7 linked regions of the Sus scrofa genome follow. The protein of the gene in region 4 purifies or fractionates together with the protein of the main gene of each other region. This does not show direct contact. Links are inferred from orthologs where the notes say so. Each region holds a gene or a part of one and is shown on either strand. Other genes may lie near its edges. The genes, in order: ARID1A, VPS72, SMARCD1, ACTL6A, SMARCD2, DPF2 and PBRM1.

The links.
Region 1: the proteins of ACTL6A (region 4) and ARID1A purify together in Homo sapiens (affinity purification with mass spectrometry; 5 studies listed by BioGRID and IntAct, with this or other methods). This does not show direct contact. The link is inferred for Sus scrofa from reciprocal best matches to the Homo sapiens genes ACTL6A and ARID1A.
Region 2: the proteins of ACTL6A (region 4) and VPS72 purify together in Homo sapiens (affinity purification with mass spectrometry; 3 studies listed by BioGRID and IntAct, with this or other methods). This does not show direct contact. The link is inferred for Sus scrofa from reciprocal best matches to the Homo sapiens genes ACTL6A and VPS72.
Region 3: the proteins of ACTL6A (region 4) and SMARCD1 purify together in Homo sapiens (affinity purification with mass spectrometry; 8 studies listed by BioGRID and IntAct, with this or other methods). This does not show direct contact. The link is inferred for Sus scrofa from reciprocal best matches to the Homo sapiens genes ACTL6A and SMARCD1.
Region 5: the proteins of ACTL6A (region 4) and SMARCD2 fractionate together in Homo sapiens (co-fractionation; 5 studies listed by BioGRID and IntAct, with this or other methods). This does not show direct contact. The link is inferred for Sus scrofa from reciprocal best matches to the Homo sapiens genes ACTL6A and SMARCD2.
Region 6: the proteins of ACTL6A (region 4) and DPF2 purify together in Homo sapiens (affinity purification with mass spectrometry; 5 studies listed by BioGRID and IntAct, counting the BioPlex papers as one, with this or other methods). This does not show direct contact. The link is inferred for Sus scrofa from reciprocal best matches to the Homo sapiens genes ACTL6A and DPF2.
Region 7: the proteins of ACTL6A (region 4) and PBRM1 fractionate together in Homo sapiens (co-fractionation; 4 studies listed by BioGRID and IntAct, with this or other methods). This does not show direct contact. The link is inferred for Sus scrofa from reciprocal best matches to the Homo sapiens genes ACTL6A and PBRM1.

The regions. Positions count from the first base shown.
Region 1 is NC_010448.4:84,115,729-84,119,228, forward strand, and holds part of ARID1A (AT-rich interactive domain-containing protein 1A), read left to right. Parts: intron 1-119; coding exon 120-252; intron 253-420; coding exon 421-596; intron 597-926; coding exon 927-1,077; intron 1,078-1,158; coding exon 1,159-1,299; intron 1,300-1,383; coding exon 1,384-1,480; intron 1,481-1,941; coding exon 1,942-2,833; intron 2,834-3,196; coding exon 3,197-3,327; intron 3,328-3,500. UniProt on the Homo sapiens protein: Involved in transcriptional activation and repression of select genes by chromatin remodeling (alteration of DNA-nucleosome topology).
Region 2 is NC_010446.5:98,061,074-98,065,060, reverse strand, and holds the start of VPS72 (vacuolar protein sorting-associated protein 72 homolog), read right to left. Parts: upstream 2,801-3,987; 5' UTR 2,689-2,800; coding exon 2,572-2,688; intron 1-2,571. UniProt on the Homo sapiens protein: Deposition-and-exchange histone chaperone specific for H2AZ1, specifically chaperones H2AZ1 and deposits it into nucleosomes.
Region 3 is NC_010447.5:15,991,493-15,995,606, reverse strand, and holds the start of SMARCD1 (SWI/SNF-related matrix-associated actin-dependent regulator of chromatin subfamily D member 1), read right to left. Parts: upstream 2,801-4,114; coding exon 2,624-2,800; intron 1,972-2,623; coding exon 1,784-1,971; intron 1,536-1,783; coding exon 1,493-1,535; intron 1,397-1,492; coding exon 1,274-1,396; intron 794-1,273; coding exon 671-793; intron 1-670. UniProt on the Homo sapiens protein: Involved in transcriptional activation and repression of select genes by chromatin remodeling (alteration of DNA-nucleosome topology).
Region 4 is NC_010455.5:117,618,915-117,622,414, reverse strand, and holds part of ACTL6A (actin-like protein 6A), read right to left. Parts: intron 1,983-3,500; coding exon 1,921-1,982; intron 1,531-1,920; coding exon 1,416-1,530; intron 1,270-1,415; coding exon 1,189-1,269; intron 1-1,188.
Region 5 is NC_010454.4:15,090,477-15,094,725, reverse strand, and holds the start of SMARCD2 (SWI/SNF-related matrix-associated actin-dependent regulator of chromatin subfamily D member 2), read right to left. Parts: upstream 2,801-4,249; 5' UTR 2,725-2,800; coding exon 2,509-2,724; intron 1-2,508. UniProt on the Homo sapiens protein: Involved in transcriptional activation and repression of select genes by chromatin remodeling (alteration of DNA-nucleosome topology).
Region 6 is NC_010444.4:6,876,499-6,879,998, forward strand, and holds part of DPF2 (zinc finger protein ubi-d4), read right to left. Parts: intron 2,072-3,500; coding exon 1,979-2,071; intron 1,793-1,978; coding exon 1,714-1,792; intron 1,205-1,713; coding exon of another isoform or gene 1,163-1,204; intron 152-1,162; coding exon 14-151; intron 1-13. UniProt on the Homo sapiens protein: Plays an active role in transcriptional regulation by binding modified histones H3 and H4. Is a negative regulator of myeloid differentiation of hematopoietic progenitor cells. Might also have a role in the development and maturation of lymphoid cells.
Region 7 is NC_010455.5:34,814,618-34,818,117, reverse strand, and holds part of PBRM1 (protein polybromo-1), read left to right. Parts: intron 1-1,389; exon of another isoform or gene 1,390-1,467; coding exon of another isoform or gene 1,468-1,515; intron 1,516-3,144; coding exon 3,145-3,297; intron 3,298-3,500. UniProt on the Homo sapiens protein: Involved in transcriptional activation and repression of select genes by chromatin remodeling (alteration of DNA-nucleosome topology). Required for the stability of the SWI/SNF chromatin remodeling complex SWI/SNF-B (PBAF).

The sequences.
Region 1 (3,500 bases), on a different chromosome or scaffold from region 4:
GAGAAGGGTGACAGACAGCTCTAGCCTCATAACAATCTTTTTCATAGAGATTCTGGGACATTTGTGTGTTTCTGTGAGGGTTAAACGCTTTCCTGCTTACCCTGCATCTCTGTCCACAGCGGGATCAGGGTCAATGCAGGGGCCACAGACACCTCAGTCAACCAGCAGTTCCATGGCAGAAGGAGGAGACCTGAAGCCACCAACTCCAGCATCCACACCACACAGCCAGATCCCCCCATTGCCAGGCATGAGGTGAGGCCAGGAGCAGGGGCAGGTGCTTTGGGGAATCCTGGGCCCGAAGTGCATGAGCTCCTGTGCAGCTCAGGGGGTCCCTGGTCTCCCGACCAGTGAACCCATGTGCCTCGCGTTATTGGAGTAATAGCTTCGTTTGGGGTCTAATGAGCTTTCCTCACTCTTGAGCAGGAGCAATTCAGTCGGGATCCAGGATGCCTTTCCTGATGGAAGTGACCCCACATTCCAGAAGCGGAATTCCATGACTCCAAACCCTGGGTACCAGCCCAGTATGAATACCTCTGACATGATGGGGCGCATGTCCTACGAGCCAAATAAGGATCCTTATGGCAGCATGAGGAAAGGTGACCAACTGCAGTTGGCCTTGTGTCCTTCAGGACAGGGCCAGGGGATGGGGGGATATCTTGAGAGTGGTTCAAGGTTCCTATTGAACCATCCTCTGAGATGAGGCACTTCTGGACCTAACCCCCTCCTTCATCCTCCTTTTTTATTTCCTGCTCTTCACCGTGTCACCCCTTTACATGCCTCTTTAGATCTCTGTTTCAATCCTGTCAGAAAAATAGTTGGAACAAACCTGAGCTCTGAGAGGTCCTTGGCCTTTGGGGCAAGCAAAGTATAGGTTGTTAGGCCTGCTGAACAACCACTTTGCTCACTGTCTTCCCTTTTGCTCTCAGCTCCAGGGAGTGATCCCTTCATGTCCTCAGGGCAGGGCCCCAACGGCGGGATGGGGGACCCCTACAGTCGAGCTGCCGGCCCTGGGCTGGGAAATGTGGCGATGGGACCTCGGCAGCACTATCCCTATGGAGGTCCTTATGACAGAGTGAGGTAAGCATGGCCCCCACTCCAGTCCCACCCCAGACCCCACGGCTAGCACGGACTCAACCTGCTTCTCTGCTTTTTCTTTAGGACGGAGCCTGGAATAGGACCCGAGGGAAACATGGGCACTGGAGCCCCACAGCCGAATCTCATGCCTTCCACCCCAGACTCGGGGATGTATTCTCCTAGCCGTTACCCCCCACAGCAGCAGCAACAGCAGCAGCAGCAACGGTGAGTGAAGCTTGGTCTTGGTGCTGCTGTGGCTAAGGCTTTTCGCCATCCCACCCTGATCCTCTGTTTCTCTCCTTCCTGCAGACATGATTCCTATGGCAATCAGTTCTCCACTCAAGGCACCCCTTCCGGCAGCCCCTTCCCCAGCCAGCAGACCACAATGTATCAGCAGCAGCAGCAGGTGAGAAAGGTAGTGGGTGGGATGACACTGGTTCCTCTGAGAGCCAGTTAGAAAACCTTGGTCAAAAACTTGAGATGGTTTGGTGTTCTTCTTCCCAAATAGCCATTTTTGTCTAAAGAGCCAAGCCCTCAATCTTCTCCCTGTTTGGAGTCTAATCCAGTCTCTAGTTCTCTGCAAGTGTTAGAAACAGGCCTTATTTTGATTTTTAAACTTTGCTACGTTTTTCTACGTAGAGCAAGGGAGAGACAGAGGGAACAAAGAATGGTTCTTACTTTCAGAAACAATTTCAAAAGATAACGTGTAAAGGTGATTCTTTTGTTCCCATGGAATCTGTGTCCCCTCCTCTCTCAGAGGGGCAGAAGTAAGCCCAGTACGTGTCTGATGTAGCCATCTTGTCAGCTGTAGGTCTCCTATCCCCGGGTTCAGAGTATTAATTTCCCCTCTGCTTGTCCCTATCTTAGAATTACAAGCGGCCAATGGATGGCACATACGGCCCTCCTGCCAAGCGGCATGAAGGGGAGATGTACAGCGTGCCATACAGCACGGGTCAGGGGCAGCCCCAGCAGCAGCAGTTGCCCCCAGCCCAGCCCCAGCCTGCCAGCCAGCAACAAGCTGCTCAGCCTTCCCCTCAGCAAGATGTGTACAACCAGTATGGCAACGCCTATCCTGCCACTGCCACTGCTGCTACTGAGCGCCGACCAGCAGGCGGCCCCCAGAACCAGTTTCCATTCCAGTTTGGCCGAGACCGTGTCTCAGCACCCCCTGGCTCCAATGCCCAGCAAAACATGCCACCGCAGATGATGGGCGGCCCCATACAGGCATCGGCTGAGGTTGCTCAACAAGGCACCATGTGGCAGGGGCGTAATGACATGACCTATAATTACGCCAACAGGCAGAGCACGGGCTCTGCCCCCCAAGGCCCTGCCTATCATGGCGTGAACCGAACAGATGAAATGCTGCACACGGATCAGAGGGCCAACCATGAAGGCCCATGGCCTTCCCATGGCACACGCCAGCCCCCATATGGTCCTTCTGCCCCGGTGCCCCCCATGACGAGGCCCCCGCCATCTAATTACCAGCCCCCACCAAGCATGCAGAATCACATTCCTCAGGTATCCAGCCCCGCTCCCCTGCCCCGGCCAATGGAGAACCGAACCTCTCCTAGCAAGTCTCCCTTCCTGCACTCTGGGATGAAGATGCAGAAGGCAGGTCCTCCAGTACCTGCCTCGCACATAGCACCTGCCCCTGTGCAGCCCCCTATGATTCGGCGGGATATCACCTTCCCACCTGGCTCTGTTGAAGCCACACAGCCTGTGTTGAAGCAGAGGAGGCGGCTTACAATGAAAGACATCGGTAAGGAGACCTCCTTGATTGGGTTGCTGAATCTGCCCCTTTGCATCTTGTTCATTGTTCTCTCTCCATCCCGATGTTCTGGATGAGTTAAAAGCAGGTCCAGTGTTGACTAAAAGAGAGTCCAAGAACTTTGGGTAAGGAAGAAATCATCTGATATCAGGCTTTACTAAAGGAATCGCCACACAGTGATGTCCTAAGAGAGCTTAGAAGCCCTGAGGGGCAGATGTGTGTCATCTCCCAGATGGGAACTGCCTCTCACCATGTGTTCTCTTCAGAGTAGCCTGACTGATGAGCCAGCTCTGGGGTGGGAGGGCCCCTGCCAACCTGGGCTTGGTGGATGGACGACGTGGAGGTTTATTTCAGGAACCCCGGAGGCATGGCGGGTGATGATGTCCCTCAAGTCTGGGCTGCTGGCAGAGAGCACATGGGCATTAGACACCATTAACATCCTGCTGTACGATGACAACAGCATCATGACTTTCAACCTCAGTCAGGTGAGTACAGGTGCCTGGGGAAGATTGGGAAGGCCTAGGATCTTCTTGACAAAGACAGTGCTAAGCGACCAGGGAATTAAGCCATCCCTGGTCAACATGATCTCCTCCCACTTGTTCTCTGATACCTTTCGAGCCAGTACTTTGCCAGCAGCCATGGGCCCCCAGTACTGAGA
Region 2 (3,987 bases), on a different chromosome or scaffold from region 4:
TGGGCAGATCAAACAGCAGGAACAAAGGTGTAGAAGCAGGAATGCGTATAGCATGATTAGGGAATAAGGATTTGGACCTAAGTAAAGCAGGTTATCTCTGGCAAGAAGTTGTCCTAGCTGATTGTCTTTGGCGCTAGCACAGACAGCCTCCTTCCAACATTAACTGACTGCCCTGTAGGGCTACAAGATTAGAAAAGAAGGAAGTTGCCTCGGGGCCCAATGGGTCACGTTAGCTTTGCTGTGAGTTGTGATGTAGGCTGCAGACCAGGCTCAGATCTGGCGTTGCTATGGCTGTGGAGCAGGCTGGCAGCTACAGCTCGGATTCAACAGCTAGCCTGGGAACGTGCATATGCTGCAGGTGCAGCCTTAAAAAGGCAAAAAAAAGAAGAAAAAAAATCACTTGGAGGCGAAGGAGTTAATTGGGTGGGGCAGAACTTCAAACATGTGGCTTTCTCTTCAATCAATGATGAGACTAACGGGCTAATCTTGGTATACACACTGCCAAAACAAGCAAATAACAGACAGTTGACACTCCAAGCCTGTCAGCTTCAGTCTTGCACTGATGACCATCATTTCCTCCCAACTGATGTTTGTGAAAGACAGCCTGGGAACATGTTAATCCCCTTAGCTCTGACCCTACTAAGTCATATCACCAGAGGTAGCAGTTCAACTACACATTAGCTTAATGCCCAATTGAAATGCTTTCACTAAGTTATGGACTTACTACCATTCCTTTGGCTTTTATCAAGGGTCATTAATAGACATGACTAATCAAGAGACTGTTTTTACATCATCTACCAAACCCCTGTTACTTTATATATAAGGACGCAATTCTCCCTAGGATTTAATGTTGAATAAGTTTGTCTCTCTTAAAGAACTTGTATGCTTCTTTCCTACTGAAAAAAGAAATTCAGGGTTTGGCTGCCAGGAAGCTCACAGCTAAATTTAAAATCAATTGCTACTACCATTTTAGCTGAGGCTCTTGGTACAATTACTTCTGATCTGTCTCTATTTTTACTGTTCCTACTTTTTGTTTATATCGTAAGCCTCCTTAAATCCTTTTTGGAAGAAGGAAGGGTACATATTAAATAACAACTCGTAAAATGACAGGAATAGGAAAATGGCCTTTGGAGGAGGGATGGGAAAGTTCTATTTTAAACTACTTGCTTAGGGGGTTGTTGTGATGATTCCTAATCAGTCACCAAGTCCTGTGGATTCTATTTCTCCTTAATTTCTCCTGAACCCTCCTGATCATGTTTCTCTACTCCCGCTGCCTTCTTCAAATCCACAATACAGAGTGATCTTTATAAAGTACAAATCTGATCATAAAACTATGACAAATATTCTCAGTCCTCTGGATGAAGAGCAAAACTCCTTAACATGGCTCACAAGCCCTCCATGATCTGGCCCACGCCTACTCCCTCCAGCCTGACCAACCTTTATTCTCCTTCATGGTCTGGATAATGACAGTAGATATGCAGGTCCCTGACAAGGATCTCAGCGTTTTTATACATCTCTGCCCCACCCCCTCGCTGGACCAACCCTCCTCCTTCCCCTGCTCCTACTCCTACCACTATTCAGCCAGCCAAGGCCACTTTTCATATGGTCCTCAGCTTATCCTGATGCCTATCCCAAACAACTTTGGCTCCATGTGGAATTTAAACTGACTTAATTCAGCTAGTTCCCCCACTGGAATCTGGAATATGTCAGAACAAAATGGTGGGGTCTGTTTTTTGGTTTGTTTTCTTTTTGGCTGCGCTGGAGCCATGTGCAACTTCCCCACCAGGGACTGAACTGGTGCCAAAGGAGGTGACCCAAGCGGCAGCAGTGACACCATGCCCTTAACTGGCTGAGCCACAGAGGAACTCCCCAAAGTGGTGTTTTTAATACTCTGTTTCCCTAAAGCCTATCACAGTTCTTGGCTTGCTCTATGCGTTTAATATATTTGATGAACGGTTAGATTCAATCAATATAAAATTTAACAAGTGCCAACCCAATGAGGACACTGGACCAGGCATTGGACATGTGTACTGTTAAACAAAACAGATTATCTCTAACCTTAAAGCGCTTACAATCTGATAGAAAAGTATAAACAAGCCAGCAAAAGCTATTACAAATCGAAATAGGTTCTACGAAAGATATATAGGGAGAAACTTCTTAGCACAATCAAGGAAAGGCTATTTACCCAAGAGACATTTACACCGAGATCTGAAAGCTGAAAAAGGAGTATGCTAAGTGCCTCTATTTTTTCTTGAGAGAGATTTCTTTTCTATACTTGAGATGAATAACCAGGCAGTGGGCCAACGAGCATACACCGCGTGACTACGATGTGCTGTATGCTAGACGTCAGAAGTGCAATGAGAGATGCAGCTGGGGAAGTACACAGCAGGTTTCAGCCATCCAGGACTCTCCCTTCCAGGACTCCAGTTTATCCTCCAGTCTCGCCCACCCCATCTCGAGTATCAGCTACCAAGGATCCTCTCTTCCCCCACCCCCTTCTTTGTCCGAGGTTTCTCCCTTCAGGACTCCTTTCAGCTTCCTTCCCTCCCTCTTCCTGGGCCCGGCTCTTGCCTCAGTGAAACCCCCATAAGTCGTCTGGTAGAACTCATCTTCCTCCTCTGCCTCCAGGAGACCAGAAAGCCGGTTCCCTGCGGTCTTCCGGGGGGCCCGGCCCCCAGCCAAACTCATAGTGCCTACTCAGACTGCGCCACCACCAGCAACCCCTCACACAGCGCGGTCCTCAAGGATCGGCTCTCGACACCACTACCTGCGGGCGGCATGCGACGGCGGAAGCCGGTCATCTACAGGCAGAAGTAGCAGAGCGTCGAGAGATTCCTAGTCCCGCCCCCGAAATCTTCTCACGGCTTCAGCCCCGCCCACGCCTGCGCAGAGACTACCCCAAGCTCCCCGCCCCAGTTCCGGCGCCCATCTGGGCTGTGAAATACTTCGATTTGGTGACCCCCAGAAACCCCGCTACACTGAGTGCAGAAATCGGGAGCCAAGAAATTTTCATTTAGAAGAGGTCAGTCTCCCTCTGCTCCAGTTCGTTTTCCACTCTGCTGCCAGTAGGAACCTTTCTAAAAACCCAGATTTTGTCACACTTTTGCTCAAAAATCTTTAATGGCTCCTTCCTTGTCGACTTACAGGGTAAAGTCCAAATGTTTTTTAAATTTAGTTTTTAGTTTATATTGGATTATAGTTGATTTTCAATGTTGTGTTAATTTCAGGTGTACAGAAAAGTGATTCAGTTATACATATACCCATTCGTCTTTTTAAGTAAGTTGTTTTTTTTTTTTTTTTTGTCTTTTTGCGGTTTCTTGGGCCACTCCCGTGGCATATGGAGGTTCCCAGGCTAGGGGTCGAATCGGAGCCGTAGCTGCAGGCCTACGCCAGAGCCGCAGCAACGCGGATCCCAGCCGCTTCTGCAACCTACACCACAGCTCAGGGTAACGCCGGATCCTTAACCCACTGAACAAGGCCAGGGATCAAACTCGCAACTTCATGGTTCCCAGTCAGACTCGTTAACCACTGAGCCACAATGGGAACTCCTTAAGTAAAATTAAAAAAAAAAAAAAAAAATTCCCCCTTTTTCGGCAACCCGCATGACATGCAGAAGTTCCAGGACTAGGGATCAAATCCAAGCCAGAGCTTCGACCTACACAAAGCAACTTCTGATTATCTATTTTATTTTATTATTTTCTTTTCTTTCTTTCTTTCTTTTTAGGGCTGCACCCGCTGCATATCGAGGTTCCCAGGCTGGGGGTTGAATCAGCTACAGCTGCTGCCCTACACCACAGCCACAGCAATGCAGGATCTGAGCTGCATCTGTGACCTACACCACAGCTTAACCCACTGAGTGAGGCCAGCGATTGAACCCGAGTCCTCATGGATTCTAGCCGGGTTCGTTAACCGCTGAGCCAAGACGGGAACTCCTGATGTTTGTCCTTCTCTGCCTGAAAGTCCAAAATTCTTGTGGCGGAATAGTAG
Region 3 (4,114 bases), on a different chromosome or scaffold from region 4:
GAAAAGAAGGAGGCTCTGACACGAGCCCTGGTTCTCCTGAAAAATGCATTCATACTGGCTTGCCTGTGAACAGCTAAAAATAGAGAGCAAGAGAATATAAGGGAATGGCAGGTGAGCTTCCCCAAGGAGCTTCTGGGGTGTGAAGTCTGGGGGCTATCACCTGTCAGCTGATGTTCCCCATGAGGCAGCAAAGAGCCTGTCCGAGAGACCTCGCCCATGGAAACTGTGAAATGTCTCCAGTGGAAACTGGGAAGACGGCAATACTGCAGCGGGAATCAAGGACCTCAAGGACTCTGGGAGGAAAGCAGGGCCTCAAATGCTAAGTGCAAACTCACTTGGTTTAAAAAACAAAAACAAAACCAGAACAACCCTAACTGGAAAATCTGCAGATACTGCCAAATCCAAGGGCTAGCAGCATCAGGAGGGAGACAAACAACAAATCAAATCCCAGGGCAATACGGTTCTCCATACGATACCACAGAGAGAGCCAGGCTGTGGGAGCCAGACACAAAGAACCATTGTCTTTTAGCGCAGGGAACACAGTGACCCTCTCCCTGCTGTTCCCAACAGGAGCTGTGAGCACCAGTCAGGCTTCCTGCCAACCAGACAATACTGCTTGTTCCCAGCAGCTCCCACCCTAGATGCTGACCACAGTGGACCTTGAACTCACATCCTCCAGGAGGCGTCCTTCTACCCGAAGCTCCCAGGAAGCCACCGTCCCTTCCCCATCCTCGGCATCTGACTTAGCCGGATTGAAAGTGTTAGAAATGAAAATTCGCAGCTTCCGTTTTTGCTGAGGAAGGCAGAAACAGGATTGACAGTGGGGCTTCAGTGGTTTCACGCTGAAGACCAGGGTCTCCCCAAACCCCAAAACGTCTCCTAACAGACTGGCTTACTATTTACCCAGGCCCTGGGGTGGGTGGACGGAGATTCCACCTAGAAGAGCACAGGCCACTGGCCCAAATGCAAGTGCATGCACTGGGGTGCCAGGTAGACAAAGTCATGCGAGGTGCCAGGTTCCCAAGGTGACAGAGCAGTTATAGCAAAAACACCAACAGAGTATATTTCTGGTGCAAGAACTACCAAAAGCCCCTCCCCCTGAGCTGTTCTGTTCTTATGCTTCTAATGTAATTCTCGGTTTGTAGGCGGAAGGGAGAGATGTAATTTAAATGCCAAGGAGAGCGGCGCTATGCCTTTGATTTCTCATCCTTAGCCTGCTGAAGGTTCCCGAGTCCTCTCCTTTGGCTCTCTGCCTAGCACTCTCCTGCGTTACCTTGATGGGACGCTTCAAGGCCTCCTGGATATCTAGCCGTTTCCTCATGATAGTCTGGTCCAGTTTCCTTTCAAAAGCCAAGAGATCCATATAGGCCTGGGATTCTGGTACCAGTTCACGAATCTGAGGAACAGAAAGGTATCATTGGGATCTAGAGCTGGCCATCTCTCTTCTCCAACTCAACACACCCTCAAGAAGACCTATACAGCCTGGACTCACCCTTTGAGGTAGAATTTTGTCAGCCATCTTCTTTTTCTTTGCACTGTTTGGAATAAATACTGTTATCAGGTTGGGATGGAACTAGCCAGAACATGAAGACAGGCTGTCAGCACCTCCATTTATAGTCAAGAGAAAGAACCGCAAAGCTTCTCTCAAATCAAAGACACCCCCCACCCCCACCAAACACGAAACAGTCTCCACTGTCTGCTGACACAGCGTCGTCACTTCTTGCTTGAGGTACTCCCACCACCTGTGTCCGCCCTCCCGCTCTCCACCCTGGGGTCATCTTACTTGTGGTTCCGATTTTGGACCGCCTGTTGCTGGACCTGCTGGATCTGCTGAGGTGCAGGTCTCTTGCGGGACTGGTCCATCCCTGACTGGGCCAGGCCAGGTCGGACTGAAGGGTTCCCCCCATAGCCAGGGGGTCCCATGGAAGGTCCCTGAGGTGTCATTCGGCTGCCTGGTAGCATACCTGGTCTCTACAGAGGGGAGAGGACCCAGAGATGTCATGGCTTCCCTTGCAAACCCCACCAGGAAAGGGAAAGTGGGGGAAGCCTGAGTTCTCTGAATCGAACCAGGCTGGGGGCATGGGGGGTGGGAGAAGACCCCTCTACCTCTTTGAAATATAGATCACTGGAGCTTCCTCTGCTCCACTTGTGATCCCACAGGGGACTCCAGCCCAAAGCTAAGAGAGCAGATTATACTCAAATTCTCCCCAGTCTAGTTTGTATCTGCCATTGGACATCTCCTCTGCTCCCAGTACTCAGACAGCACAGCCAGCTACCATCTCCTCAAAAGCTGACCTCAATTTGCCAGGTACACCTTCTGTGCTCCTCTGGGCACTGGAGCTGCCTAAGCCTTTTTGCACTCCAACTCTCACAAGCCCACCCTTGGCCCCGCTTCGTTCACCCTGGTTCTACACCCCGACTCCCCAAGGAAACAATGCCCCTACGAGCTGGTGGGGATGCTAACCGCCTCCCCTCCCTTCCGCGCACTGCCTCCCCCGACCCTCCCTCGCGAACCGAATCCCTCCCAGGGGAGTCCCTCCTACTCCTCCCCCCACCCCGTCACTCCCAGGCCCCCGCTCGGCCCCGCCCCCGGCCCGCGCGCCCCTCCTCCTGCCCCACTCACCGGATAGGCCGCTCCGGGCATCGGGGAGCGGTACAGCCCTTGACCCGGCGCCGGGCCCATTCGCACCGGAGGCCCCGGAGTCCCGCCCGGGCCCAGGGCAGCCGCCGCGCCCGCCCCGCCTGAAGCTCCGGCGCCGCCACTCGGAGCCACAGACTGGAAACCCGCCCGGGCCGCCATCTTTCCCGGAGCCGCTGCTGCAGCTGCACAAAGAACCGGAACCGGAACTCCCCCCGCCCCCGCGCGCCCCCAGCGCGCCCGCCTGTCCGCCCGGCCGGCCCGCCGGCACGGGAGGCCCAGGGCAGCGAGACTGTGGGCTAGAGGGGGGCGACGAGCGGAAAAAGCGTGCTGACCACTCCCTCCAGCCTTCGCGGTCCGGCAGGGAACACCATCGAGAAGAGCTCTGGGATAGAGAGGCCCGTGAGCGGGCGCCCCCAGGCCGGCGGGAGGAAGACAAGGACCTGGAAAGGGGGACCACAGCACCGTCCCAAAGCTCTGATGAAGAGGGTGATGGAGTAACTGCTTCATCTGGGCGCAGGGCGTTTTAACTTTCCAAAGCGCGTGTTTCTTTTCCTTCTCCTCCGGCTCTAAGCCCAGGAGCCGAAGAGGAGGACGCACCTTTCCATTTTGCAAACAGGAGAGGTGAACTCGAGAGGAAATGACTCGGTGTAGTCAACCAGCAAGTTAACGCGAAAGCCAAGGCTTAGAATCCAGGTCTGGCTCATAGCCCAGGGCTCATGCCACAGATAAAGTGCCTCAATAACTACCTAATGCTAGAACTTCAACCCAGCCTTTCCCCTGACCTTTAACCTAACCTGCTTCCAGATTTTAAGTATATTTTGAAGTTTGACCCCACGCCGTCTCCAAAGCCTCCTTTGTACTAGGATTTCTCTTTGGGATCTTTGTTAACCTTTGATCTCTTCCTCTTTCCCTGCCCAGTGGTTCAAACCATTTCTGGTGTGATGGTCAGCTTGTCCCATCCCAGGACCAGCGTATCCCTGCTCTGGCTCCCTTACTCCTCCCCTGATTGGCCCCAATCCAAGGTCAGCTCTTAGTAGGAAGTCCTACATACTATTCAAATAAGAGAAGAACGACACTGAAGAGGAGATGGTTGAAACCCAGTTTATTAGACCAGAGACATGCGTCACCCATAGCCCTGCCTGCTGTTCCCCATCTGGTGCACACCCTTTGGCCTTGCTCCTGCTTCCCTCTGGAGAGGTCTGATCTCCTAGGAGTTCCCAGGAACCCAGAGTTCCCAAAGATCCTACAGCCTCACCCTGCAGCTCCAGGTCAATGCACAGGTGACCTGCCACAGGTCTTGTTCTGGGGGTGGAGACTGAGAGACAGCTGGGCAGAGAAGGCCTGGGAAGAGGCAGCGCTCTGGCCTGAGGGGAGCGCCTGGTGGAGGAGGCACGGCAGGTCCTTGGCCTCACAGGTTTCTCATTAAAGTAGGAAGGGAGGGACAGAACGGCAGAGTTTTAACTTCCCCTCTAG
Region 4 (3,500 bases):
CCTTCCCCTTGAGTTTATATTAAACTTATAACCCTATTGTCCTAGAAGTAGCACAACTGGCTAATTAAGTAGTTGAAATAAGGAATATTTTTCATAACTACCCAAGTTTTTTTTTGAACATGACTTTTTATACACCCTTAGTTTTAGCACTACGCTCCATGCAAATAAATTAACTCAAAAAGAATTCTGAGGCAGTACACTGGCTAAAAATTAAATCTAGGGTTTAAGTAATATGTAATCTAATAATTATATGGTATAAAATATGGAATTTGTCCTTAAAATTTGTCAAAGCACAAAAAATACGAAGGTAAGAAGATCTAAACTAAACTCCATGTTGGAAGTTCCCTTGTGGCACAGTGGAGCTGTGGCACAGGCTGCAACTGCAGGGCAGGTTCAATTCCTGGCCCAGGAAACTTCCCCGTGCTGCAGGTGCAGCCAAAAACAAACAAACAAAACCCCACTAAACTCCATGTAAAAGTTACAGAATTTAAACCACACCTTCCTGAAAAATAAAACTGAACTACACACATGAAAAATCACCAATAACATATTTTGGCTTGCCACATTCTGGAACAGCACTGTCCAAAAGAATTTTCTGTGATGACAGAAACGTTCTCTAGCAAGTAGCTATACTTATGACGTGGCTAGTGCAACTAAAGAAGTGAAACTTAAAATATTTAATTTGAAATTGCTACATGTGTCCAATAGTTACCACACTGGACACCACAGCTTTAAAATTACACATTTTTGGGACTTCCTGTCGTGGCTCAGTGGTAACGAACTCAACTAGTATCCATGAGGATGCAGGGTTGATCCCTGACCCTACACAGTGGTTTAAGGATCCAGTGTTGCCATGAGCTATGGTGTAAGTCACAGATGTGGTTCAGGTCCCGAGTTGCTGTGGCTATGGTGTAGGCTGGTGGCTACAGCTCCAGTTCAACTAGCCTGGGAACTTTCACATGCTGCGTGTGCAGCCCTAAAAAGACAAAAAAAAAAAAAAAAAAAAAAAAAAGAAAATTACACATTTTTCCTTTGCTAGGGACTTCATTTTTTTACATATTCTATTAGAAAATGGACTTCAAAGTCAATGGCCAAAGTTGCCAACTTAAATGATGGCAATTATAAATAACGGGGACACTGGTTTGCCCTGAAAGACAGCTTTATGCCATAAATAAAACTGGCACTTACTGGTCTGATATCAATATCGCACATTCCAACACTTGTAGTGACCACGTGACTGACACCCAACATTGTATTTCCTGATAATCCCTACAACAAAACAGAAACGAATAGTCACAAAGAAGAACTTCAAACAATAAAGCACATCCAAAAAAATTTAACCTTATTTAGGATTTATAATTACATAGAGATTTTTATAGGAAAAACCAAGCTAATTATGAAATAAGCTTTTATACCTTTACATTGGAAGGGTCAAATAATCCTTCAGGAATCTTTAACCGTTCTGCTCCAAAATCACAGTTGTAGCCATTGGGGAATTCATAATGAACAGTTGGCATCTGTGCAGCTACTCTAAAACATCAAACAATATTAAACAAAAGACAAAAGCAATCCTCTTAAGAATTATAAACTACTAAGGAATCAACAACAGGTAAGAAAGCAGAGTGAGAATCTTCTTTTAAAATGTTATTTAGTACTTCTTAACTTTTTACCTTTAGACCAGTTAAGCATACTCTACAATTTGTTTAACTAATCAATTTCTGTCCTAATTTATAAAGTATGCAGTTTTTTTTTTAATTGGAGTATAGCTGATTTACAATGCTGTGTTAATTTCTGGTGTACAAGAAAGTAATTCAATTATATATACACACAAACATATTATACAATTTTTAAAAAGATTAGTATGAAGGTTTTAATGAGCTCTTAAATTATAAGCCTCATAGAAAAAATAAGAAAACATACTGTTCATCATAAGTTGAATCTGATACTTGAAGTACTGACGCTTGAAAATCTTGGATAACACACTAAGGATTAAACAAAAAAAGAGTTAAGACACAAGGTTATTGAAATTTGTCTTTGCAATCTATATTTTTATAAACTTTTTTTTTTCTGCTCATGTCTGCAGAATGCAGAAGTTCCCAAGTCAGGAATTGAAGCTATGCCACAGCAGCAACTCAAGCCACAGAAGTGACAACACCAGATCTTTAAGCCACTGAGCCACCAGGGAACTCTGAAAAATATTATTTAAAAAAAAACTTTTCTTAATGAAACTGGACCACATACCTGGATGGCTAAATCATTTTGAGGGTATAAATCTACCCAGCAAGGTCTCTGAGCCTCAAGAAACCCAATTCTAAACACTCACATTACAAGCTAAATTGTATAACATTTAAATTGTAACCATCATCAGAGTTCCCGTTGTGGCACAGCAGAAACGAAATCCAACTAGTATCCATGAGGATATGGGTTCGATCCCTGGTCCTGGTTCAGTGGTAGGCAATCCAGCACTGCCATGAGCTGTCATGTAGGTTGCAGACGGGGCTTGAAACCTGCATTGCTGTGGCTCTGGTGTAGGCCAGCAGCTGTAGCTCTGATTTGACCCCTAGCCTGGGAACTTCCTTATGCTGCGGGTGTGGCGCTAAAAAGCAAAAATAAATAACCATCAGGGAAAAATGATGAGATAAAAAACAAGTGGGAATACTTGTACCATAGTCCTACATAACAACATTGGCTTTAGAACAGTTTTATCCTTTAAAATAAGCTTAGGGAGTTCCCATGTGGCTCAGTGGCTAAGGAACCTGACTAATATCCATGAGGATATGGGTTCAATCCCCAGCCTCTCTCAGTGGGTTAAGGATTCAGCATTGCTGTGAGCTGTGGTGTAGGTCACAGATGCGGCTGGGATCCGGCGTTGCTGTGGCTGTGGCGTAGACCAGCAAGCTACAACTCCAATTCAACCCCTAGCCTGGGAACCTCCAAATGCTGAGGGTGCAGCCCTAAAAAGCAAAAATAAATAAATTAATTAAATTAAATAAGCTTAGACTTAGCAAGATTTCATTAGCTGAATATATTTTAAAATATATATATATATATATATTGCATCTTCCGTAATTTTTTGACTGACATAGTATAAAACAGTCTAAAAGTTGTGAAATACATATGACCTCTGAGTTGCTAAGGAAAAATCTCGTTGATATTTAGGTAAAATTATTATTATTATTTTTCTTCTTTTTAGGGCCGCATCTTGCAGTATACAGAGGTTCCTGGGCTAGGGGTCAAATAGGAGCTGCAGCTGCCATCTGCAACCTACATCACAGCTTATGGCAACACCGGATCCTTTGACCCACTGAGTGAGGCTAGGGATCAAACCCACATCCTCATGGATACTAACTGGGTTCTTAACCCACTGAGCCATGATGGGAACTCCTAGGGAAATTATTAATAAGCTTCAAAATTTTTCCTTGTACCAACCCCCCCCCCAAAATACTTATCCTTAGGTGTAAAAAACTGTCAAATAGGATATATCCCTGCCATAGAAAATT
Region 5 (4,249 bases), on a different chromosome or scaffold from region 4:
CTTCAACAGGACTCTACCTCCACCATCTGGGACAGCAGGGGAGAGAGGCCAGCCCGATGTTGCTGCCTCCAGAGAGCATGCTCTGCCAGGGCTCAGAGCCTGTGGCCCTGGTGCTCCTGGTGGCTGGGCCTAAGGACCAAGGAGAAGAGAACATACCCCCACATACGTAGAAAATACTCTGAACTCTCTGGTGTGAACCCAGCAATCTGTGTTCTTGGGGGGGTTTGTTTTTCCCATTTTTTGTTTTCTTCAAGTTCCTTAGTAGACTGTGATCCACAGCTGGAAACACTGCGTGCAAGGAGCTGGGTCATCATTTCCCTTCTATCAACAAGATTGCCTATTTGCCCGCCGTGAGCTTGAGCGCCTTGCTCCCTGACTCACCTCGTGAGCCCCAACAGAGAGGTGCCCATTGCTCCTGAGATCTCAAGTCTCTTCTCCTGGAAGTCACATAAAGAACTTGAAAAGAGGCCAAGTAGGATCCTCTCTGCACTCAAGATGAGCTGCCTCCTCCTTCCCCCCATCTACCTTTACTGCCCCTCTGGTCCCTGGAAGAGAAGCAGGAGATGGGGAGAAGCCCACACAAGCAGAGGCTCAGTGCCTTCCTCAAGGTCTTGCTCCTGGTAGCCTGGGCTACCCAGCCAGCCAGCTCAGCCCTGCCACTTGCCCGAGGCCACCTGCTCAGGGGTTTTCCCCAGGCCACATTCCCCATGGGCTGCAGGTTGAGGAAAAGTGGAGGGGCTCCTATCTGCCCTTTAGATCCCTCCCAGGCCAACAGCCCAAAGGGAGGCACCTCAGCTAACTGGCCCAAGGGCCAGAATGACAGATGCAGGGACCCCTCCGTGACACCTTGGGCCAAGGGGGAGAGCAAGATGGGAAAGATGAATCCCAGCTGGAGCCGCTGGGACCAGGTCTGTCTCTATCAATACCCAGGCCCTAGGTTTTCTTTAGAGGGTGGAGGGAGAATGAGAAGTTAGAGGGAAAAATCACTGTCCCCAGTTAAGCATCTCTTTACAAAGTGAAGGCCCAGGGGTCCTGGGAGGATGTGTACCCTACTCTATGAGGATCCATTTGGGGGACCTCTACTGGAGACACGAGAATCTCCTAGCTTCCCTGAGAGATTAGCAAGAAGCCAGTGTCAAGTGCTGGGATACATGGATTGGGATACAGATGGCGTTGTGAGAACCTAAAAGGCTAATTAAAAGTGGGGATGGAGTTCCCGTTGTGGTGCACTGGAAGCGAATCCGAGTAGGAACCATGAGGTTGCAGGTTCAATCCCTGGCCTCACTCAGTGGGTTAAGGATCTGGCATTGCCATGAGTTGTGGTGTAGGTGGCAGACATGGTTCGGATCTGGCGTTGCTGCGGCTCTGATGTAGGCTGGCAGCTGCAGCTCTGCTTCGACCCCTAGCCTGGGAACCTCCATATGCCGCGGGTGCAGGCCTAAAAAGACAAAAGACAAAAAAAAAAAAAGTGGACAGAGGGTAGGAAAAGAATGGGCACAATTCCTAAGCATTCTGGGGCAACCAGAAACAATGAACTTGGGGGCTGGTAAGCCCCAACCCCAGGGTCAGGCTGAGTTCCTCACACACTGACCCCAAGAATGGAGTCTCTGCATCTCCATGGCCTTTGAAGCTGCAACCCAAGAAGCCCTCTGCAAAGCCAAGCACCAAAGAGGTAAGGACAGAACCCTTTGAAGCAACTCTCACAGGCTCCTCCAGCCCCAGACCAGCAAGGCTCACTGGAGCCTCTATGCTCCCCCAGACTAATCAACTCCTGGACACTGTGACACCAGGCAGAAAGCCAAAGAGAGTCTGTCCAGAATGGGCTGGGTTTCCCTCCTTTCTCAGGCCTAGCCACCACCCTCTCTGGTCTAACCCAGAGTCACCCCTGTGTGAAGGCCCCTGCGCATGACCCAGGAGTAGACTCCCCCTGCACAGGCTGGAATCGCTGGTCCTATCCTCCACCTCCTGTCGGTGGGAAGCCAGGCCCTTCTTCCTCCTCAGCAGCTGGGAGCCATCTCAGACACGCTAAAACTCTGCCAGTTCCCAACTAGAGAAAAAAGAGCAGCCTTGGAGTAGGACCAAGACCAATGTAGGGTAACCCTGGTTTCTCAGTGAGGGCCCTTTTCCAAAACTTTCTCATCACTTCCCAGGACCCCATTGCGGAGAATCTACACTAGACTTCTCAAGCCACCCGCCTACAATTCACTAGCTCCAACAACTCCTCCATCTCTCAGTTACTCAGAACCCCTGTTCCAAGACCTCACACCCTCCCAACAGCTTCAAACCCTTCACCCGAGAGTCGCTCTTACCTTCTCCCCTAACTCCTCCGCAACCACCTAGCCGAGCCCCAGAGTCCCTGGCTTTGCCCCGCACAGTGCCCCGTGAACTCCGCATGCAGAGCCCCTGTGCCCTCTGTCAGGAAGGCTGCTCCAGGACCCTCACTCGAGGCCTCTTTCGCCCCCTACCCGAGTGTGCTCGCGGCGCCGCCCGCCCCTCAGCCCTCCTCACCTGGTACTGTGCTGCGGGGCCCGCGGGGCCCATGGGGCGGAAGGCGGCGGCCCCCGGGCCCCCCACGCCTCCAGCCGGCCCCGGCCCCCTTAGCGCCGGTCCGGGCAGCATGCCGGGTCCCGCTGGCGGAGGCGGTGCTCCCAGGGCCGCGGCAACCGCGCCGCCGCCAGGGCTCAGCGGGGGCAACGGGAACCCGCCCGCGCCACGGCCCGACATCGCTCCGTCCCGTCCCGCGGTGTCTCAATCCGGGCTCCGGGCTCCGCGCTGAGTTCGCTCCGCGCTCCGCGGTCCGGGACTTTCCGATCTAAATTCCGGGTTCTGGGGTTTGTTGATCCGGGTTCCGGGATTTCCTAATCCAAGTTCGCGAGTTCCTCACAAACCCAGTTTGGGGCCGGGCCGGTCTTGATTCCGGTCCTGCCCGGGAAATTCCGGATCCGGGATCCGCTACGGGCCCGCTAGCCTTCGCCGGTCTCTGGAGGTTTCAACGCCAGCGTCCAGTTACCCAGAAGCTGCAGTTAACTCCCTCCCCCGCCTAACCCAGCCCAGCGCTAGGCCCCGCCTATACCCAGCTGGCCAATGCGAGGATGCCCCCTCAAATACCGCCCTCGCGAGACCCGCCCCCCTACAGGCACCGCCTCTAACCGCCGGTCCCCGGAGCCCCGCCCATACCCTTGGGCCGGCCCTCCACTGGAGGGGAGGGGGCGGAAGCAACTCAAGAAATGCAGAAGGTCAGAGGTCGAAGGTCACTAGCACTACTGTAGTAAACGGGTAGTTGCTGCTCTCTTCCCCCCTTGCGGCTGGTTCGCCGAGGTACCCAGCCTCGGTCCCTGAAAATAGTTGTCAGAGCTCCTTTCTACGTTTTAACATTACAGACAACTTAAAGCTGCTTTCTGCGGCAGAACAGCCGCCAGCGTGACTCTAAAAGCCCATCCTAGTGGCTCAGAGCTGTCAAGAGACTTGGCTGCTCCAGACCCTATGCAGCTGTGCGAAGAGTGGACTTGGCCAAGCGCCAAGTTTTTATCGCATATTTCGAACGTGCCTCTGCCTCACTTTAAGGAATTCTAATACTTTACTCCAGAGGAAATGTTTCTAGGAGAAGGAAGTTTGCATTATGAGAAACCCCTAAGTTAAATAAGGTCTTTCTCCAGGATTTAAAGCACTATTCAAAAACTTAATACCTTTTCGGAAATCAGATCTGTGTTAGCAGGTATGCAAAATAAAGCTGCTTCAGCTGTGCCAGGGAGCCCCTCTGACATTCTGGGATTTTTTTTCCCCATGATACAGACCAGTGCTTCTTTAAGGAGCATAAGAAACATCTGAGGCTTTTGTTAAAAATGCAGATTAAGTTTCAGTAGGCCTGGGTTCTAGGGTAGGCTCAAGATTCTGCATTCCTAACAAGCTCCTGAGCAATGCTGTTGTTACTCAGACTACACTTTTTAAGTATCCAAGATAGACTTTTTTACCATACAAATCCTCTCCTTTGTTTTCATCCCCAACCAAGACTTGCCCCACAGCGTTCCACATTTATAGAGCAACCATTTTTAGTCAGTTTTGCTCATCTGTACTTCCTGGTATCTTTCCTCCAGTGATAAACCCTGCTTTTGCTGCTGCTTTCCTGCCTCTTGGTCTTCTCAGGGATCCCTCTCCTCTTTCTCCCTAAAAGTGGGTTACCTGTCAGTCTGAGAAGACCACTAGAATTGTTCCAGTCATTGAACCAGGGCCCCTCTCTCCGGCTTGTAAA
Region 6 (3,500 bases), on a different chromosome or scaffold from region 4:
CACCTCAGCTTACATTTCTGCTCCTCAGACCTCTGGGAAACCGGGGTGGGTGGCTGCGAGTCCTCCTTGTCCTCGCCCTCCTCCTCAGCCAGGTGGGAATGGGCATAGTGGTAGCTGAGGCCTGGTCGGTTCTTGTAACGTTTTCCGCAAACTGAGTGGGTTAAAGATCACAGAGAACGGTGTTAGGACGTGAGAGGGCCATATCCCTGCCCCACTAAGCTGGGAGCTCTACCTGAGGCAAAGGTAACCACCCCCATCAGCTCTGTTCAGGGACAGGCCTTCAGTGGGAGCTGCCTCCCCCTGGCCAGGAACCTCAGGTCCTGGGGCTCTCTGGCTTGCATGGCTCTTTTTACTAACCCCAGCCCAAGGCCATCTCTACTCTTCTGCACAGGCTCTTAGGAAGGCTGAGCCCTTGCCCCATCACCACTTGCCCTGGGAATAGTCTGGGGAGCTCCAAGTCAGGAAGGAAAGGGAATTTCTATAGCCTTGCAATATGGCAGGACAGACAGAGGGAGGAGGGACTCCAAACTTGTTTACCTCTCAGTAAATGCGGGAGGTTCACACTACCCCATATACACCACAGCCCATCTCTGCCCAATGTGGATAAACGAGCAGGGGGTGGACCTCTTGGGGGATCACCTATCAACTAATCTGCTGGAGTAGTTATTCCCCAAAGAAACTCAAAGACACCCCCACATCAGTGCCCCACCCAACCTCACCAACCAGCAAGAAAGCAGATCCCCATGAGGCATCTCGTACTCTTGAGCAGTGATACCAAAAAGAGCAAGGGGGCAGCAGAAAAGGGACGAGGAAGGGATGGGTGGAGGAGGTGGCGGATGGCAGGGAACATTAGCTGACCACCATGTGTCTGTTTTGGGGAAGGGGCAGCAGAGGGATCTGTTTGTAATGCGTTCTTTACAACGCTTTTGAAGCCACCCCATGCAGTGGGCCCGAGCAGCCCTAGGAGCAAGTCTGTGGGAGACAAGCAGTGGTAAAGGCAGCTTCCAGGGCTGTGAGGAGTGGAGCACAACAGAAGGCCCACTGCTCCTATCCGCATGCCATTCCACAGTTTAAAACCAGCATCACAGATGAGAAAGGCAGGAACAAGGGAGGTGGGACAAGGGATAGGAAAACCAAAAGTCTGAAAAGTTGAGAGAGCTACCTCTCTGGGGCGCTTTCGAGGTATGCTTTTGTTTGAAACTATCTGAAAGACAGAAAGAAAAGTCATGAGAAGAAGGCCTTGATACACTCGAGACAGGTGCGGCAGCAGCAGGAAAGCAGAGCAAACGAGAGAGAAACCTCAGCGGCGATGGTGCTCCCAGGGTAGAGGGACAGAAGTGGGGCGAGTCAGAGAAAAGGGGGAGAGAGAACAGACATTGAAAAAGTCGGTGTTGGACTCCTGGGGCTCTGGTTCGACTAAGGCAAGCAGACCTGAATGCCATTTATTGAGGCCAACCCTGCCTGCTGGGTGTGCCCCCTATTGGCACCCCCACCCCAGAGGACAGCAGACATCTCCCCCAGAACATGCAGGGCCCACCCGTCGTGTAGCAGAAGCCAGCACCCCTCAGGGATCTCAGAGGGAACCAGTCAGGGGCAGGACAAGAGTCCAGGCTTGTTTTACCATTCTGAGCAAGAACACAACCTTCCCTCCTCTCATATCCCGAGGAGCTGGGTCCAAGGCAAGGACTACCCACCCACTCGCGAGGCACTCACTGTCACAGGCATAGGGTTTGTCCCGATCCTCCAGGATGGAAGCGTCCAGCTTCTTACGGGCACTGCCCACACCTTTACCCTGTGAAAAAAGAGTAAAAAGATGGCTTTAACTAAGGTATCTCAGCCTAAAGAGTTAAGACTCACCTGGAAGCGGCTGCGAATCTCACTCAAGAGGGAAAATGACAACAGGTAATAAAACTGTGGGAAAACAGTAAGCAATAAATCCCCACTCCCTCAGGCTGGAGGCCGCACCCTGGCCCCTCACCTTGGACTTCCCCTTGCCCCGACGCTTGGGAGTGTCTTCTTCATAGTCCTCATCATCGAGGTCATCCAGGAAGTCATCCGGTTCTAGGATCCGCTGAGTGGACAAGAGGATTAGGACAGGCAGAAATAAGGTACTCCCAAAAGCTCCCCGACAACGGGGAGCCAAGGCTGCCCAGAACCTCCTCTGTTTTAGTTCTTCTCTTCCCCCCCGGCCGTACCACATGAAGAAGTTCCCAGGGGAGTTCCCGTCATGGCACAGTGGTTAACGAATCTAATATCCACGAGGAACCGGGTTCCATCCCTGGCCTTGCTCAGTGGGTTAAGGATCCAGCACTGCAGCTGGCCAGCAGCTGCAGCTCCAATTTGACCCCTAGCCTGGAAACTCCCATATGCCATAGGTACAGCAAAAATAAAATAAAAATAGGCGTTCCCGTTGTGGCTCAGCAATAATGAACCTAACTAGCAACCATGAGGATGTGAGCTCAGTGAGTTAAGGATCTGGCGTTGCCGTAAGCTGTAGTGTAGGTTGCAGATGTGGCTTGGATCCCGTGTTGCTGTGGCTGTGGCACAGGCTGGTGGCTACAGCTCCAATTTGACCCTCAGCCTGAGAACCTCCATATGCCAAGCGTGTGGCCCTAAAAAGACAAAAAAAAAAAAAAAAAAAGTTCCCAGGGATCAAACTTGTGCCACAGCAGCGACCTGAGCTACTGCAGTAACAATGCTGATCCTTACTGTACTGACCCACAAGGGAACTCCCAGAACCTCCTCTGTGACCTGGTCCCTTCCCTCCAGCCTCACTGCTGTTCTTTCAATGTTCTGGGTTCTCCTTCCTCTGGGCCTCTCTTCATGTTGTTCCCCTAACTTAGAATGCCTTTCCTACCATCTCCAAGTAGCCAAATCAAATGCCATGTTTTCATAAAACTTTCCCTGATACCCAAGGTAGCCATGCCCTCTCCTGCCTGTGGACTGCCACCCTGGAAGCATGTTATCAGTGGTTCCCTCTGACACTTCATTTCCTACATTTAAATTAGAGCTTTGCTGCTTCCTTGTGGGAAGCTACTTTTTTTTTTTTAAACTCTGCTTCAGCCTCCTTCTACATGTTTTGTTTCTTTTTCACAGCTGCACCTGCGGCATAAGGAAGGTCTCAGGCTATGGGTCAAATCAGAGCTGGAGCTGCTGGCCTATAGCATCGAGGGATCTGAGCCATATCTGTGACCTATGCCACAGCTTGTGGCAACACTGGATCCTTAACCCACTGAATGAGGCCAGGGATTGACCCTTCATCCTCACAAAGACTAACTGGGTTCTTAACCTGCTGAGACAGCAGGAACTCCAGCCTCCATATATGTGAAATGGGGTTGTAGAGACTGGAGAGAAGGATGGAAAAGTATTTAGTACAGCACCTGGAATATTTTTAGCTCTCATTATTTTTATGTATAGTTCTATCTTCCTTGTTGGTAAGCACCAAAAAACCTTGGTGACAAAAGAAGACCAATCAATGCCAGAGTTCCCGTTGTGGTGCA
Region 7 (3,500 bases), about 83 Mb from region 4:
CAGCTCCAATTTGACCCCTATCTTGGGAACTTCCATATGCTGCCGCCAGTGTGGCCCTAAAAAAAATAAAAAAGAAAAAAAAATGCTGTTCCTGTGTCCAAGGGAGCATGCAGTCCTAGAGTTAAAACTTAACACTTTTGTTGTGCTTTGAAGTTTCAAAGTGATTTCACGTACATCTCACTGTCACGACAATCTCAGGGAGGTATGTACACTCTAGTGTTCTCATTTTAGAAATGAAGAGACAGATCTGAGAGGTTGTAACTCAAGCAACATCAAATGGATAGAGATGAAAGACTTGGGTCTCTTGTCTTCTGAGCTCAGGTCTTATTGCTCCTCCTACATTTCCTTTCTTGCTAAACTTCCAAAATACATTTTAAAATGTATTCTTTGGATGAGATTTGAAAATTATTCTTAGGTAATAAGGACCTTTTTTTTTCTTACCAAAGTAAATTAATGATTCAAGGAGTTTTTGATGTTGTATGGTCTAAACTATATATACATATACCCCAGTGATTTACATTTTTTGTCATTTGATTTTCAGTGGATTATTTGCAAAAGTAATTTTGATCTCCTGCCACATGGTTGAAGGCTTTTTTTTTTTTTTTTTTGGTCTTTTTAGGGCCTCACCTGAGACCTATGGAAGTTCCCAGGCTAGGGGTCAGATTGGAGCTGCAGCTGCTGGCCCACACCACAGCAAACCAACTCTTCGTCTGCGACCTACACCACAGATCACAGCAATGCTGGATCCCTCAGCTACTGAGCAAGGCCAAGGATTGAACCCACATCCTCATGGATACTAGTTGGGTTTGTTACCACTGAGCCATAATGGGAACTCCACCCCCCCCTTTTTAAACCTTTCCAAAGTTGCATGTGGTATCCTTTCAATGCTCTTAGGACTTTAGGAAAGAAATGTCTTTCTCTGAATTTTTTTTGGTGAGTTTTCAGACTCTTTGCTCACATGAGCCATTCTTAGTTTGTTCCAGCTTGCTAACATTTGGTGTCACATGTGAGCCTTCCACATGTGTTCACCCTTCATTCCAACTCTAATTGAACTCTGCTCTTATTGACTGGGGGGCAGTTGGACAGGCATGCTTCATTCCTGGAATTGACAGTCATTCCAGGTGAGTAAAGGGGAGCCTCAGTGAGACATCTTTAAGCATGTGAAAAGCATTTGGTTTTAAAAATGGAAGCAATGGAAGCGTACTATTAGTGCCTGCCCCTTTGCAGTGGTTTGCTTAGCAGAACAGAACTGATATGCCTGTTTTCTTCAGTTCTCTTATCTTTCTTTAGCAGTTCTGTTTGAATGTTTTCTATCTATCCGTACTCATTTTTGCTCTTTCTGACCCTTCTTTTTATTTCCCCTTTCTCTGCCTTGTTCTTCTCTTTCAGTTTTGAATATATTAACACTGAATCAGCACTTCTAAAGCCCTGCCTTCTCCCCCTGGCTTCACTTGGCCTTCAGACATAATGAGGAGACTGGCTTTTCGAGGCGCTGGTTGTGCTCTGGTAAAGCTGGTAAATTACTGATCATCTACACCCTTTTCCTTTTCTGTCCTTCCTTGCCTTTTCCCTTCCACCTTTCTTAAATTTTGTTATCCTCTTCATAAAGAGTCCCACCTTATGTTCATCAAATTCACTTGTGTCCTCGTCATAGACTGTTTACAGAAGTCTGGTCCTTAGTTTCTTCATCTTAATGAAGTAAGGCCAGTTTGTCAACCTTTTATAAAGCAAACAAAGATCAGCAATATTTGGCTGGCCTTGGTCTAAGTCCTTTGAAGCTTCGGCCAATTGCAAACTAATACACTGTATAACAAACCAAGTCCCGTAGGAAGGAACATCATCACTTTAGACTCTGTGTTTAAACACCATGTGGATTGCAGTTCAGAGGAAGAGATAAGAAACTCCTCTTGTTTCTTAGTTGGTTACCAGAATTTGTTATTTGTTGGTTTGTTTTGCTTCTGCTTTCTGTTCCCTGGAGATACCCAGTTTTTCTCTCCATACCACTGGCAGCCCATTCTTTCAGCTGTTAGTGTCTTAGTTTCCTGAAATTGAATGTTGATGAATGACATTGGGATCACTTTTTTCTTTTTGCTTTAGAGAAAGACTTTTGAAATCATAATATACTGCCTGATGTTGTTAAATTGTATAAACCTTGTAGGACTTTCTTGGGTATACACCCTTTCCCTCTAGCTGTAGCAGATCATTTCAGTAGTTGCATTTCTTGTGTTATAGTCAAATATGTGTATCTGTAAAGTTGTGTTAATATTATTTAGTAGCCTTACTAAAACCGAGAGCAAGTATTTACATATTTCTGAAAGGCCAAGGAGGACCTAAAAGTTCACTTCTGAGGTGGTCTTCCAGATCACCTACTGAAAATATAAAGCTGTGAGTTCCTTAGAGTAGAGCTGAGTACGTCACATAACTGAAAAGGAAGTTAGTCTGGATTAACAGAAAAGTTTTAAAACACAGATTTGCTACTTTAGCATAGGTACAGTAAGTCATGTTAAGTGTTTTAAGGAATGGAGAAAACTCAATTTTCAGTGTGTTAATTTAGGGCATATCTGAAATGCTAGAAGGTTAACCAGTCCTCTGTTCCTCTACCCTTTTGCACTACATATTTGCATCAAGGTCTGCTTCCAGTTTTTTTTGTTTTTTGTTTTTTGTTTTCCCCCACATCCTGGCCCATCTGGAGATTGATCATAATTGTAAGAAACACGGGGGAAAACAAATGAGGTTGCTGACTCCAGAGGTGACCACCTTGGGGTCTCTGTCCCTGAGGCCTGCCTAACTGCCTCAGAGACTAAGGGATTAATACCTTTAACACACTGGTGTACCACTGCATTTTCCAAACTCCAGTCCAGAATAAATTTGAGGCTAGAAGTGATTGATTCCTTCAAAATTGGTAATGTACAAATGAGTATACTTTTGCTGAATTTGTCCCATCCAAGTAAGTGTAGCATTCTGGTAAGCGAAGGGGCTAAAGCAAGATTTAGGACTTGCCCTGAAAAAAAGTAGTTAACCTTCTTTGCAACAGTTTAAATATCCTCCAAAGTGAACCAGAAGCTTGGTAGTCAGTGGCCAGCTGAGGGCTTGGTGGCAAAGTATAAACTTAAGTATAAGAACATGGCTAATTATTTCTTATAGAAGAAGTTGGATTCCATGGGTTCCAAGAGAAGAAGAGCTACCTCCCCTTCCAGTAGTGTCAGCGGGGACTTTGATGACGGGCACCATTCTGTGTCCACACCAGGCCCAAGCAGGAAAAGGAGGAGACTTTCCAGTCTTCCGACTGTAGACCCTGTGAGTAACTTGGATCACAGTTTCTGTCTTCTGTCTTCGCTACCCTTCCTCCGATGATAAGCAGTTATGATGCAAGGCCTGTGTGCTTCTTTTTCCTCTGGTTTGATATTCTCAATTTTTCTTTTATGAAAAGTATATATTTAGCCAAAAGTATTTGAGTGATGGAGTAATTTAGTATTATGAAATAATAAAGTATATCAGCA